2 linked regions of the Drosophila melanogaster genome follow. Each later gene encodes a partner of the first gene's protein in a complex. Each region holds a gene or a part of one and is shown on either strand. Other genes may lie near its edges.

The links.
Region 2: Gem4b (region 1) and rig share a complex: the UniProt entries of both Drosophila melanogaster proteins name them as parts of the core survival motor neuron (SMN) complex.

The regions. Positions count from the first base shown.
Region 1 is NC_004354.4:3,938,984-3,945,048, reverse strand, and holds Gem4b (gemin 4b), read right to left. Parts: upstream 4,203-6,065; 5' UTR 3,990-4,202; coding exon 3,872-3,989; intron 3,819-3,871; coding exon 1,656-3,818; intron 1,597-1,655; coding exon 1,142-1,596; 3' UTR 784-1,141; downstream 1-783. Other genes in the region: Glos (gaulos), read right to left, coding at 5,380-5,834, 5,894-6,065. UniProt on the Drosophila melanogaster protein: Component of the survival motor neuron (SMN) complex that catalyzes the assembly of small nuclear ribonucleoproteins (snRNPs), the building blocks of the spliceosome, and thereby plays an important role in the splicing of cellular pre-mRNAs.
Region 2 is NT_033778.4:20,634,570-20,642,688, forward strand, and holds the start of rig (rigor mortis), read right to left. Parts: upstream 6,113-8,119; 5' UTR 6,013-6,112; coding exon 4,581-6,012; intron 4,523-4,580; coding exon 4,210-4,522; intron 4,153-4,209; coding exon 3,990-4,152; intron 3,928-3,989; coding exon 3,774-3,927; exon of another isoform or gene 3,749-3,773; coding exon of another isoform or gene 3,005-3,748; intron 2,946-3,004; coding exon of another isoform or gene 2,596-2,945; intron 2,540-2,595; coding exon of another isoform or gene 1,903-2,539; exon of another isoform or gene 1,823-1,902; intron 1,504-1,822; coding exon 611-1,503; intron 554-610; coding exon 388-553; intron 329-387; coding exon 178-328; intron 120-177; coding exon 1-119. Other genes in the region: CG13436 (uncharacterized protein), read left to right, coding at 1,903-2,539, 2,596-2,945, 3,005-3,748; maf-S, read left to right, coding at 6,517-6,549, 6,597-6,977; CG11110 (uncharacterized protein), read left to right, coding at 7,268-7,361, 7,427-7,848; Tcs1 (Threonyl-carbamoyl synthesis 1), read right to left, coding at 8,008-8,119. UniProt on the Drosophila melanogaster protein: Component of the survival motor neuron (SMN) complex that catalyzes the assembly of small nuclear ribonucleoproteins (snRNPs), the building blocks of the spliceosome, and thereby plays an important role in the splicing of cellular pre-mRNAs.

The sequences.
Region 1 (6,065 bases):
ATATGACTTGTCCACTGCTTGCTATGATTTAACTTTAACTTTATTTATAAACATTTTCATATGATATTTTGTATTTTGCTCAGCTGAAAATTAAATGAAGATATTTTATAAAGTATTGTAATGTATTATTCGATAATTAATTATTTGTATTATTATTGTAATGTTTTATTCGATAATTAATAATTGACATTATAAATATTGCGACTTCTCCAAAGTCAACTGCAGTTTTTTAAACAGTGGTCCTATTTAGCAAATGTATTTAAAATAATGCGATTCGCATGCGGCATTTGAGTTTGAAATCTTTTCGATACTTGTCAAGCATTGGTCGTTAAATTACCTTGTAAAATATATATAGTGTTTTTTAAGACAAGATATTTTTTCTATTTTTTTTTTTATTTAGGTAATTTGAAAATGTTATTAATAACAATTTGCACCAAAATTTTCCTTTCCCTGAATAATGCCATTCAGCTTTTGACAGAATATAAATTAGTTAAATTTATAACATAACGAGTACATGAAATTTAAAAATGTATTAAAATAAATTTTCCTAGTTTTAAGTTACAATTTTGCAACAGGAAGCAAAGCAGTCGAAGTAATACATAAAAATACGAATAAAAATAAGAACATGCAAAATTACAATAATTTTAAGCTTGCCAAAGCATTTATTTAATAGAACACAAATTTGTATTTGATGGTAGTATTACATATTTTATGTAAATATAGTCGGCCTTAAGGACACACAAAGTTGTAAAATAACCTGATATCAAATTATTCTGATGTTCAATCATAGCGTTTTGTATATTATATATATAATACATAATAATACGAAAAAAAAAGAACATGCAAAATTTTATTAATTTTCAGCTGAATAACTTCACTTGCTTGCCAAAGTATTTTTAGTAAGACAAAAAATTTGCATGGTAGTGGTACATTTGTTATGTGCATACAGTCGCCCTTTTAAAGGACATACAAAGTTGTAAAATAATCTGATATCAAATTATTCTGATGTTCAATCCTAGCGTTATGAATATTATATATGTTTTTAGTCATATAGAGATCTGACTGCCTAAGAATTAAAGTGTTGGACAAGCGGCGGAATTTCGATTTGGCTTAAGAAAATTACACTTCTAACAGCATCTCCTTAACACTTGGCCGCCTGCTGTTCCTGGATATTTATGCCGAATCGCACAGCGAAGGCTTTACTAGCTAGCTTCATAATCTCGTTGCGAATGGAGAATGGAGCCTTGGCCACAACGGCCATCAAATGATCCCAATGCTGGCGCTTCGTGATGGTCTTATTGTGTTTGGCGTGGCTCCGGAAGGCGATCAAATATTCTCGAAATAGGAATCTAAAGGCCATGAAAGCGGACTCGCTGTTCACCTTGACCACTGCATCGCTAAGATCGCCCATAACAGCACAATCGGCCCTTTTTTTAAGGAGCTTGTTGAAGAGATCGTTAGCCTCCTGTGCACTGGACTGAGTTAGCAATTTGAGAAAGGAGCGTGTGTCCTTTAAGGTGTCTTCTTTAAGGTAGATGAGCCAAAAGCCCTTGTGCTTTAAACTGTTCACTTGGTTCAAGATCCTCTGGCGGCATTCTGTGAAAGAGCAATAATTAGTAGGCTTTCGTCTTGGACTTACATTTATAAGAGCGCACCAGTGCCTAGGAATGTCAGATGAGACAGACCGTCCTGCCAATACCACACCGCCAGTTCTAAATTATCCACCCGGAAATCTTCAAAGGTGGCCAAGTCCCAGCGTAGGGCATCAATGGTTTTCATGACATGCGAGATCAGCTTCCAGTGTTTCAAACGCCACTCTGGCAAGCTGGCATTCAGATATGTGTAGTGCTTGGCCACCTTGACAGCTGGTGCATCGTCTCCGTTCTCCAATTTCGGGTGCTCCTTTTCGAGTGCATTTAACTCTGCAGTGCCTCGGGTGATTAGATTGCTTTCACCCAGACTAATCTGCTTGAGCAGTTTCAAGATTAACTGCAAGCTGGGCAAGTTCATGGGCTCTATAAACTTGGCCAAACCGTAGGCACACGCGTCTAGGAACCTATTTTGCGCCTGCCTAAGCTCATCCTCTCCGTAGGGACACCGTCCGTCTTTCAAACTAACGCACAGTTGTCGCGCTGACGTGTAGAGACCGTTGAGGATCTGTCGGTGGCCATATAGGTAGAGTGTAAACTGCAAGGCATACGGCTTTTGAAGTAGTTGCTCGTTCACCAAGATGTTATCGGCACAGGCGGAAATATGAAAAGCAGCATGCTTGGGACAAGACTGAGCTATGTGCCAGAATAGCTTCGAGAAGCGAGTATGCGTCACGCCCAAGTGGGAGAAATCAATCCAGGTCTGTCTTGCGTTCTCAAAGCACAGTACTAGAAATTTGGTTATCGGGAAGCGCTTATTATAATCCAATTGATTAAAGAAGCGTATGCGACGCTCCCGATGATCGGGAGCCTTGAAATTAAATCCTTGGGTAACGTTTTGCTCATCGCGCAATAGCAGTACTTCCATCTTGTCCTCGACATTTAATTGCATAAATAAGGGACGCAGTACTAGGCTTAGCAGCTCTTCGTAATCATCGTTGGACGAGGTCTCGTCCTCGTCATCCCCCTGATTTACTTCCGTAACGGATATGCCCTCGTCCTCGACCACCATTTCGGACTCCACCACCTGACCCAGGAAACTGAGTATTATCTGGGCATGTTTCTTGGTGAGCATAATTAAATGATTTGCCATCGTTTCCACGCACTCATCGTTACCAAAGGCTATGAAGCGGCTAAAGAGATTGTCCAGCCCGGCGAGCAACTCCTCATCGGTGGCCATACCGGAATCGAGAAAGACTAAGAGTTCACCCATTCTCATCTCGGCAACGCGCTGCTCCAATGTTTTTGCTGCATCCGCAAAGCTCTGCATCTGCTTGCAAACCGGATGCTCTCCGAGCAACTTATCTGATTGGAGTACTTTAAGCAATTCTGCCGTCTGTCTACAGATTAGCTCCTGGCAGTTATACAAAGCACTTTTCGATTTCATTTCATGCCAATACATATACGTGTCTACGCTAACGAGCTGAAAGATACGCTGCAGAACGTCTAGCAGTATTTGGGCGAAATGCCGCAGATCAGGCATGGGATCGCTTGAGTTGCTGTCACTGATGTCCTCGGTTATTTGGCTGTAGACGGCGAAGCAATTTGGTTTCTCCCGCTTTAATGGATCATTGAGGGTATACAAAAGGACTTCTATAAGGTGATCCATAGCCTTGGCCAGGTAAATCTTTCGAGTGGATGGACGCGGCAGCGTATGGAGGCGCTGTTTAGAGTCCAAGATATGACGATGTTCCATGCAGGCTATCTGGCGCAGCAGTTGCTTATTTTCTGCGGGCAAATTGCAGTTGACAATTGCGCGACCGGCTGCTCTGAGGGCGGCAGAGAGCAGCGGTAGTGTTTCCACGCAATCTGAATTAATGACCGACAGAGCCTCATTGAATGCCTCAAAATACTGGATGGTCAGCCAGCGGGGTCCACAAGCAAGGAATTCCTCCAGCGGCTCCATGAGACAGCAGTTAACGGCTATTGCGATGGTCAAGAACAGTGGGATAGGCGGAAGCTGGTTACACAAATGCATGACATTGGCGCTCCACTGCGATTTGCACAAGAAATAGTCGTGTGCGGTGTTCAGCACCAGGTACACCAGTAGTCCACGCAGTTGATTCATAGCAAAAGGATCCATTGTGTCTGGCGGCTGTATGATTAGATCGTGCTCCTCCAGCAGGTCCGTCACTTGGTCGCAGATCTTCTCAATGTGCTCATCGTTTCCTGAGAACAAACAATGTTCATATTTGGGCACTAACCTCTGGTACTTCACTTACCACTCCAGTAAATCATATCTTTCAGACACTTGGCCTGTTCGTTGTTGTCATGGAATATTTTCTTCAGCTGGACAAACAACTGGCAATTGTCCAGCGGGTGCTTCTCAGCAGTTATCATCGTGCTGCCGAAATTTCGCGTTTCGTCAAAACTCTTCCGAAGGAATTCAATTTTATGTGCGTCTTCTGTCAGATGACTATCGAAAATCGATAGTTTACCGGTGCGTACCGATTATCTTGCGTGCAAGGAATATTTTTTGAAAATGAAAATGTCCCTACAACAAAAAATTTCGCTTTGTAATAGACTCTCTGATGTAGATAGATACTAATATGACTTGTCCACTGCATGCTATGATTTAACTTTAACTTTATTTATAAACATTTTCATATGATATTTTGTATTTTGCTCAGCTGAAAATTAAATGAAGATATTTTATAAAGTATTGTAATGTATTATTCGATAATTAATTATTTGTATTATTATTGTAATGTTTTATTCGATAATTAATAATTGACATTATAAATATTGCGACTTCTCCAAAGTCAACTGCAGTTTTTTAAACAGTGGTCCTATTTAGCAAAAGTATTTAAAATAATGCGATTCGCATGCGGCACTTGAGTTTGAAATCGAGAGATAGATTTGGAATTCGTACATAAGAATACGAATAATAATAAGAACATGCTAAATTACAATAATTTCAAGCTTGCCAAAGTATTTATTTAATAGACAAAAAACTTGATGGTAGTATCCGCGCGTTCTAACGCACTGTCTCTCTTCTTTAGACGCCGTTCCGATTGCGCGGCCGCCTCCTGACGGCTCGACTCGCGCCCGTACTCTCCTCGACTATCCTCGCGTACGTGTGGCTCCTCGCGTGTTGTGACTGACTGCCCCAAGCTGCACTTGCGCCGTTCCTTTATAGGCCGCGGGGATCCCGTTATTTTCCCCTTTGCGCGTCCAACTAATTTGCCGTTAGTTCACAATGTGTGTCCTCTTGTGCGTGTCCAAAGTCCGCACCGTTACTGTTCGACCTCCGTGCCCTTGGCAGGCTCGAGTCCAAGGTCCAGCGCGGTACCGTTAGTTCACAGTCTCTCCGCTTTCCTGGCGTCCAAGGCCGCTCCCCTGCACCCAGATTTGTGGGGACGTAGACTCCTCACACATATTATTCTGATGTTCGATCATAGCGTTTTGTATTTTATATATGTATGTATGTATATAATACATAATTATACGAATAATATGAAGAACATGCAAAATTGCAATAGTTTTCATCTGAATAACTTCACTTGCTTGCCAAAGTATTTTTTAAATAGACAAAAAATTTGCAAGGCAGTAGTACATATGTTATGTGCATACAGTCATCCTTTTAAAGGACATACAAAATTGTAAAATAATCTGATATCTGGATTGAACATCATCCTAGCGTTATGATTATTATATATGTACGTCTTTAGTCGATTAGCGGCGGTGTTTCGATTTGGCTTAAGAAAATTACACTTCTAACAGCATCTCCTTAACACTTGGCCGCCTGCTGTTCCTGGATATTTATGCCGAATCGCACAGCGAAGGCTTTACTAGCTAGCTCCATAATCTCGTTGCGAATGGAGAATGGAGCCTTGGCCACAACGGCCATCAAATGATCCCAATGCTGGCGCTTCGTGATGGTCTTATTGTGTTTGGCGTGGCTCCGGAAGGCGATCAAATATTCTCGAAATAGGAATCTAAAGGCCATGAAAGCGGACTCGCTGTTCACCTTGACCACTGCATCGCTAAGATCGCCCATAACAGCACAATCGGCCCTTTTTTTAAGGAGCTTGTTGAAGAGATCGTTAGCCTCCTGTGCACTGGACTGAGTTAGCAATTTGAGAAAGGAGCGTGTGTCCTTTAAGGTGTCTTCTTTAAGGTAGATGATCCAAAAGTCCTTGTGCTTCAATTTGCTCACTTGGTTTAAGATCCTCTGGCGGAATTCTGTGAAAGAGCAATAATTAGTAGGCTTTCGTCTTGGACTTACATTTATAAGAGCGCACCAGTGCCTAGGAATGTCAGATGAGACAGACCGTCCTGCCAATACCACACCGCCAGTTCTAAATTATCCACCCGGAAATCTTCAAAGGTGGCCAAGTCCCAGCGTAGGGCATCAATGGTTTTCATGACATGCGAGATCAGCTTCCAGTGTTTCAAACGCCACTCTGGCAAACT
Region 2 (8,119 bases), on another chromosome or scaffold:
GGAACAGTTTGATGGCTTCCGATTGCATTCCTTGACTAAAAAGATACGTAGCTGCGTGCATGATGTAGCCTTTTTCCTCCATCTGCTTGGCATAAGCGCGACAGCAGTCCTGCCAAAGTCTGCAAGAAATATAGACTAAAGACAAAACCGATTTACAACAAAAACGTAGAAACTTACGTAAAAGAAACGGAGGGAGCCAGCGAAACATGGCGTTCGGTAAGCGTCTTGTTGGCTATATGCTGCTCCAGCTCCTCGCGTAATTTGAACGTGGACATGGCCAGGCAAAGTGGAGCTATGTCTTTGGTGTTTGAGTGCTTCAGATTGGTCACTGAAATATTACATTTATCGTTAGCATTTTAAATACTATAAGTCAGTTAGTGAAATTACACTCGGTTGCAATGAGCTCCTTGGCCATCACTTTTGAGCTGAACAGCTTCGATATGAGCACCGACTTGTCGATCTTGGCAGAGTCTTCTGTAAGAACAATGGCCAGCTTCTCAAGGGCACTTTTGTTGAGCTCCTTCTGGGTAAGGTAAAGACAGGTGCGGCTATGCTGTTGGTAAATATGTTATTGGGTTTCAGTCGAATCAAGAGCACATGGATAACTTACTGTGAAACTGTCAGGTGACTGCTCTTTACACTTTGGGCATTCTTTGGCACTTCTATTATTTTGCTCCTTGTCCAAGCTAAGCGCTTCCAACATCTCTTCAACAGGAGTTTCTTGCGTACATTTATCGTTGGTTGGATTATCAATAACTGCAGTAACTGACTCCTGAATTTTCTTTTGATCCTTGTTAGCTACGTCAACTTCGAGCTTAGCCGCTGCTTTGCGTTGATCCCGGCGCTGCCGTTTCTTTTCAGCCGCTGTGAGAACTGGAGCGTATGGCTGGGTCAGGGATTTGCTAGCCCACTTAACATTTAACAGAGCATCCACCTTGGGACAGATGCTTTTCTCATCGCCTTCCAGCGCGTCCTTAATGTCAATTAGCTCCACGGAGAGAGCTTTTCCCGAGCACATAATGATGTTCTCGTTGGTGGGCAAAAACATTCCACACCACATGGGGCAGTGGTAGGTGATGGTTAGCGGTGGCTTCTCTGGCGCATTGCAGTTCCACAGGCACACCTTTCCCTCGATATGAAAGGTGAGCAGCAAGTGCTTCTGGGTATGACTCCATCTCATCGAGGTAATCGACGCCTTCTCTGTGTTTGCCGTAAATGTGTGAAGCGTTTTCCAATTGCGCTCCGTGGGCTGAAACTCCATCACGTACACGGACCTATCGTTGCCCGACACTGCAAACTTATTGCTGTCCAGCGGGCACCAGGCGATATCGGTCACATAACGAGCAAACAAAGCGGATTGGCGGATAAATGGAGACCACGACTTCTCCATTCCCGAATCGCGCTCATGGATCTGCAGCAGTCCATCATCGGTGCCAACAAAAAGGAAAGAATCGCGGATGCTGAGGTAACTGGGTCGAGAAATGCAGTTCACAATTGTGGGCTCTGTAAGAAAATAATAATGGCATATTTTAAATTAACTTTATATGTATCTTTGACTAGCTTTACCTTTAAGTAATACATACATCCATTAACTTAAAACACAATTAAATCTAGTCAGAATGACGAAAAACTCTTTGTTTTAAGTCCATTGTTGTCTTTTAGGTCCGCACCTAATTGTGCGATCATTTTAATGATTTGTGGGAAACAATTAATTAAAACAAGCCTAAAAGTCTCGAATAACAAAAGCTCGATGGCATGAGTAATTTGTGCTACTTGAAGAAAATGAAATCGATTAAACTGTAGCCAAGGGCAACAAATATCACACGTATCAAAAACTTAGCAAGCAAACCACATTACACATTTCCTTTCATCGAAATAGGTTAAATTGTTCTGTTTACCAAAATGCCGCGACACAAAACTCTAGTGAGCATTGGTCATCGTATTATGAAGCGCTTCAAACAGTTGGATCTCAGGGTCGACAAGGAGTTTGTCATCTACATGGTTCATTTGCTGGCAAGAGATCGGCGCAAAGGTCTCCTGAAGTACGACCTCAATAAGCCAACCGCCTGTGCCATTGAGGGTTTCGTGAATACAATTGTGGATAGCTATGTCAATTCGAAAGATTGCACTATGGCCAACATGAAGATGGCTTGGGTAATGAAAAAGGGAGTAACCATAGACCTTGAATACGTCAAGAAGAAGTACGAGGAAAAGTTCCAAACCGAACTGCAGCTGCTAATCAAGGATATCCTTCAGTATCCCGAGACTTGCAGTAAAGTGCAGTTGGACCAGCTCTTCGCAAAGATGCAGGTCTTCATAGTGGCCTGCTACAGTCTGGGCTCGCCCAAGAATCATGTTCTGCTTAAGCTGACTGCCCAGGCTCTCAACAGCGTCATCGGTCGAAGTGACCTACAGAATTATGTCCTGAAGAAGAAGTACCATCGGCTAGAGTATCTTCAACGCTTGTCGGCGACCGTGGGCGGCATTGTGATCTATAACAACGATGGCCCCGATGGAGATCGGGAGAATGTTAGAAGCGGTATGTGCATATAGGGCAAACCATTTCATATTTCATATCTGCTGTATACTTCTTAGTGGTCGATGATCTGGAAATGGCCCAGAAGAACACGGAAGCCGCATTTGCAGCCAGTATGGGAAGGGCGGTCAAGATGCAGTCCACTTGCCAGGCGGCACTGGATGACCTCATAAACATAGATCATAAGGACGAGACCTTGACCTACCGCGTGCCCCTCGAACATTTGGATCGGCTTAACCAGTTTGCGGCGACCTACTTTATGCTCCATCGCTGTCTGACGACTCTGAACGAACATTACCAGAAGACAGTGTACCTAATTGAAGTGGAGCATAAGCGATATCAATGCGTGATCTGCAAGATTGATGATACCCTATCCATGCGCACGGCTATTGATTCGGAGCTTATATTTGTAAGTGATGTATTCATTTAAAAGATGAGAATTTCTCCAATTTCGTTTCCCGCTTTCAGCCGCACTTTGTGTACCTCTCTCAGGTGTGGGGCAATCTGAACAACTACCTGAACCACATTGTTGAGTTAAACAAGCTGAGGGAGCAGGTGGAGGCATTGGTCGTCGACGACTTGATGACCCTGACAAAGGCTACGATTGCCGAGCTGCAGGCGCTTCATAAGCGGATAAAGAAGCCCAAGGTCTGCAGCTTTGAGGAACGCATGGATGCCGTGAAGGAGTTGCAGACCGATGGCAACTTTTGCAAGCTCAACAAGGCAGATATAAAGGAGTTTTGCTCTCTAGCCATGACCATTACCAACGGCCTGCTTATGCCGGCCCAGGTGACCAGAAAGCTGTGCTCCAATGTGGACATTACATTTGGTTTCCGGGACCCAAGATACGCTCGATTCGCGGAGCTGCGATTTGAGCCTTTCATAGCCGCCTTTAGAAAAGTGGTTTTCAACAATGCGAACCTGGCTCTGCTGTTCAAATTGGACGATGCGCTAATAGAGCAGGAACTGCAGAATCTGGTAGTTGAGCCACCAAAGCAGACAGATTTTGAGTGTCAAACCGAAATGGTCGTCACCAACGACCTAACGCCAGCAAACTGGATAAACGTAACATGGAATGCGTGGGATTATCATCGGGAGACAATCCACTTGGCCAATATACGTAAGAAGCAGACCAACGACGCGCAGACCAACATTAGTTACGGAAGGCGCAACGCACAGAATCAAACCTACAACTGTCGGCAACATAAGTAGAGAACGGCTAAGAACATATACTCACCGATTTTCGATTTTCTTAAATCAAAGAAACCTAGAACACGATTCACAATAAAGTATATAAAGTGGTCCTGCCACACAAGCGAGTAGACTTCTTTTTTGTGCGGCGTCCGTAAGTGTGTCTTTACTTTCATGCGCTCCACATCCAGGATGCCCACCTGTTGTTGAGTTGTATATTTAGGTTCAATATCCAATAAAATAGACGAAATCAAAGCCATACCGTTCCGTCGAAGGTGCCAAAGGCCAGTTCCAAGCAGTTTGGACTCCAAGCCAGGCAGTAGACGTTGCTGGACACATAAACGCTGTCGATGGGCAGGCAGCTGGTGGTGAGCTTCGATATATCGAAGAAGGCCACACGGCGATCCGAACAACCCAAAGCGATTCTAAACGAAAAACAGTTTAGCAACGTTTGCGAATGGCATATTATCTTATTAGCTTACTTGTTCATATCATCTGGACACTCGGCCATCGCTCGCACTCCAAACGCCACTGTTCCGTAAAAGTCAGCCATCCGGCCAGTTTTAGGATTCATCATTCCAATCTGGCGATTGTTTCTGCACAACCATATCATCTCTTTGCTGGAGTCACAGGCAAAGGACACGATGTCTTGCAAATGGCAGCTGTGTGATTTATCCTTGCTGATCTTGTAGCGTAGCATCTTGCGCTCGAACTCCACGGACCAAAAGAATAACTGATGGCGACTCAGGGAAACAATGACATGGTTGTTCAGCCAGTAGACGTTGTTAAGCTTGCCTGAAGAAAAGATCCCAGTTGAATGCTTGCTTTCAATGGTTTGATTCTTTCCACTTACCCGCCGTCTTGCTTTTGCTGTAGTTCTTGCCAGCATGCGCTCCCGTATTGGTATTCCAGATCATCATCACCTCATCGCCGTCAATGGACACGAGCAGAGTTTCCAAGTGGGTGCTGTTCACGGATGTCAAGCTGATGGTCTCCGCGCTGATGGCCGGCACAACTTGGAGATTACTCTGAGGCTCAGACTTGGTCTGCGGTGTTCCTGAAGCATGTACCTCGGCCTGGTGGTAGATGTGATGCAATACTTCTCTTTTGGGCTTTGCTGCCTCGCCATCGACGATCACGGCATCATCACTGGACGAGCTGTACTGGATGACCTCCAGACTGCCCTCGGTCGAGTCGCTGGCATCGTTCTTGTTGCTAATGGTGCTGGCATCACTTAAGGGACCCGTAGGCTTTGTGGGCTCGCAGTCATGCAGCGTGACCTCCACGTGCTGCGTTTTATCCTCCTGGCGACTGGCTAAGAGTTCGGCTTTCACACTCTCGCAGGCCTCAACGAAATCTAAGACAGCGGCACCAGCTGGCTTCTCTAGACCCACAAATTCGCCGCCACAATCCTCTGAAGATTTGCGGCGGCGTTCAGCTATAGGTGCACCGAACTCGTACTCAAGATGATCAAAGTTGTATATGTCGAAAGGGTCGTCGGATTCGGCTGCCTTCGATTTGGTCAGTGGTGGTGGCTTTGTCTTGGGTTTCTCCTCCTGGCCGCCATTGCGGCTTCGCCACTCTTCAGCACTTAACGCCAGATTATTGGTTTTTTCGTCCTCGGCAGCAGGCACCTCCCGCCAGGCTAAGCCGCATATGGGCGCTTTGTGGCCGTGGAACTTGTAGACGATGTTCATTTTGCGCAGATCGCAGACCAGCACATTACCCATAGCCGTTCCCACAGCGAACAAATTGTCATTGTAGGGCGAGCAGCGCACCATAGTGAGTTGGTGATTTCGGGGCGAGATGAAAGTGGAGCGACGGCAGTAGGTGTTGGATGCCACACAATAGATGACCAGATCACTGGCGTCCATGGATAGAATGTTACCATTGGCCAGGTAGCTCATCAGCACGGAGTTGGTAGTGTGGTGCACGACGCGCACATCCCGCGCCTCGTGCTGGTGCTGATGGGCCTTGTGCCCGATGACGGCTTCGCCCAATGCGCAGTCCCACACCTGAACGCTTAGATCGTCGCCCACAATGGCGAATGGCTTGGTCGGCCCACCGTTGCCCAAGCCCCACATGGGACTAACGTCCAGGGCCAGTATGTTGATCCGCGTCGACATGGTCACCACTTGGGGCTGCTCTCCGTTTGCCGGCGGCGCGGATATGTAGTTGATGCAGCGAATGCCGGCGTACAGCAAACCGCCGTCGGGAGCAGCGGCCGCCAAAGATACGTTGCCCGGCGGTGTGGGCACATTGTGGTACATCACCTGCGAGTTCATGGCGAACAATAAGGACTTGGCATCTGCAGGATGAAGGAATATTTCCCGCTAACAGTTGGCGTCGTTCGGGGAAAAAACTTCTGTAAAGCTGTTAGTGTTAGGCAGCTTCTTAAACTTTGCCAGCGATGCCACCTGGAAGGCACGGAACTTAACAGTTAATTAAAATTGATAATAATTAAAATATAAATTTGTTATTTTCGAACTTGTATTTATAACAAAAATCTGGATCTGCTTTATATAAATAATTTAAAAATATAACTAAGTACCTTATGCTACAAAGCCTAAAATCTAGGGATCACGTTAGCTTTAGTATATTTAAATTACCCGCTATTTACCACAGACGTTTTTTGTCTATCTGCCAACTCTATGCAATCCATTTCCTGTGAATGGCAACCAGCAGGTAGAGAGGAAGAAGAAGACACACAATAACAACGCAAAAAAAAAAGGTAGAAAAATCTAGCAAATTCTAAAAGTCTCCGTAAAAATAAAATACAATCGGCCACAATGGAAGCAAAGCGCGAGAGAAAGTCATCCCTGGTACGTACCTTGTAGATATATGCGAAGAAGAAAGAAAACCCTGATAGAAGTGCGATTTTCAGGCACCACTTTCGCCATGTCCAATTCCGGATATTACCGATGACGATTTGGTGAGCATTTCGGTAAGGGATCTTAATCGGACCCTCAAGATGCGTGGCCTGAACCGCGAGGAGATCGTTCGGATGAAGCAGCGCCGGAGAACCTTAAAGAATCGCGGATACGCAGCCAGTTGCCGCATCAAGAGAATCGAACAGAAGGACGAGCTGGAGACTAAGAAGTCGTACGAGTGGACGGAACTGGAGCAGATGCACGAGGACAACGAGCAGGTGCGCCGCGAGGTGTCCAACTGGAAGAACAAGTACAAGGCGCTGCTGCAGTTCGCCATCCAGAACGAGATACCCATTCCCAGCGAGCTGGAGGGCTGCTGAACGATTGCCCAGTCACATTCCTGTTTCTGTCAAAATTACAATAAACCCAAAACGGAAAAAAACACCTGTAACTAAAGTACAATAGCTGGCAAATATCCTTCCTCAATAAACGTAATCTGCTCAAGAACCTCTGCATCGCCTTTATTGAAGCACCCTGTATTTAGCATAAACAAAACCCGTGTCGGCGCTGCGCTGCGAATGTCATAAGATCCGGAGCGCACAAGGAACTCGGCAAAAGGCTGGTGGTTATGTATTCATCTCGATAGCTCCGCTCTCCAACCAGTTCATCCATGGCATTTCGGTTCTTTGGCAAGTCCTTGCTGTACGCTCTGCCACTTGGCGTCACTTTCCTGGACTGCGTTGGTTATGTGGCCAGGGTGGATGGTGAGTCGTCCGGAGTTTATTCGCTCCATGTTAGTGTGCGCTAATTAATCCACAACTTTTTGCAGGCATCTCCATGCAGCCCGCTCTCAATCCCGTGCCGGATGAAAAGGACTATGTGTTCCTGCTGCGCTGGGGCACCCACAACAGTCAGGTGGAGCGCGGCGACATAATATCGCTCATTTCACCCAAGGATCCCGCCCAGAAGATTATCAAGCGCGTGGTGGGGCTGCAGGGCGACGTCGTGTCCACGCTGGGCTACAAGCACGAGATCGTTCGCGTACCCGAAGGACATTGTTGGGTGGAGGGCGATCACACAGGCCACTCCATGGACAGCAATACCTTTGGACCCGTCGCCCTGGGCCTGATGTCCGCGCGGGCAGTGGCCATCGTGTGGCCACCGGAACGCTGGCGAATACTGGAGAACGAACTGCCGCGGCGACGGAGACCCATACAGGCCTCCAAGAACTCCAGCAACTACTACAACTAGACTGACCAACTGGCGGAGAGCCTGCGCCCAAGATAGTTCCAATTGTGTACATACTGAACCGTATATTTTATAAACAATTTGTTGTGTTCCCGCATGCAAAGCAAAGTAGGATGTTCCAAAGTAAAAATTAAAGTTAAAGCCAAAGGAATAGCTCTTATACTACATCATTTTTAGCTCCCGAATGCCGAACTCCTCCATGAGGCTGAGTGTCGGCTTGAGAGCCACGCCGGCGCGCACTATTTCATAGTAGCCAGGAGTGGCCAGGTCAATG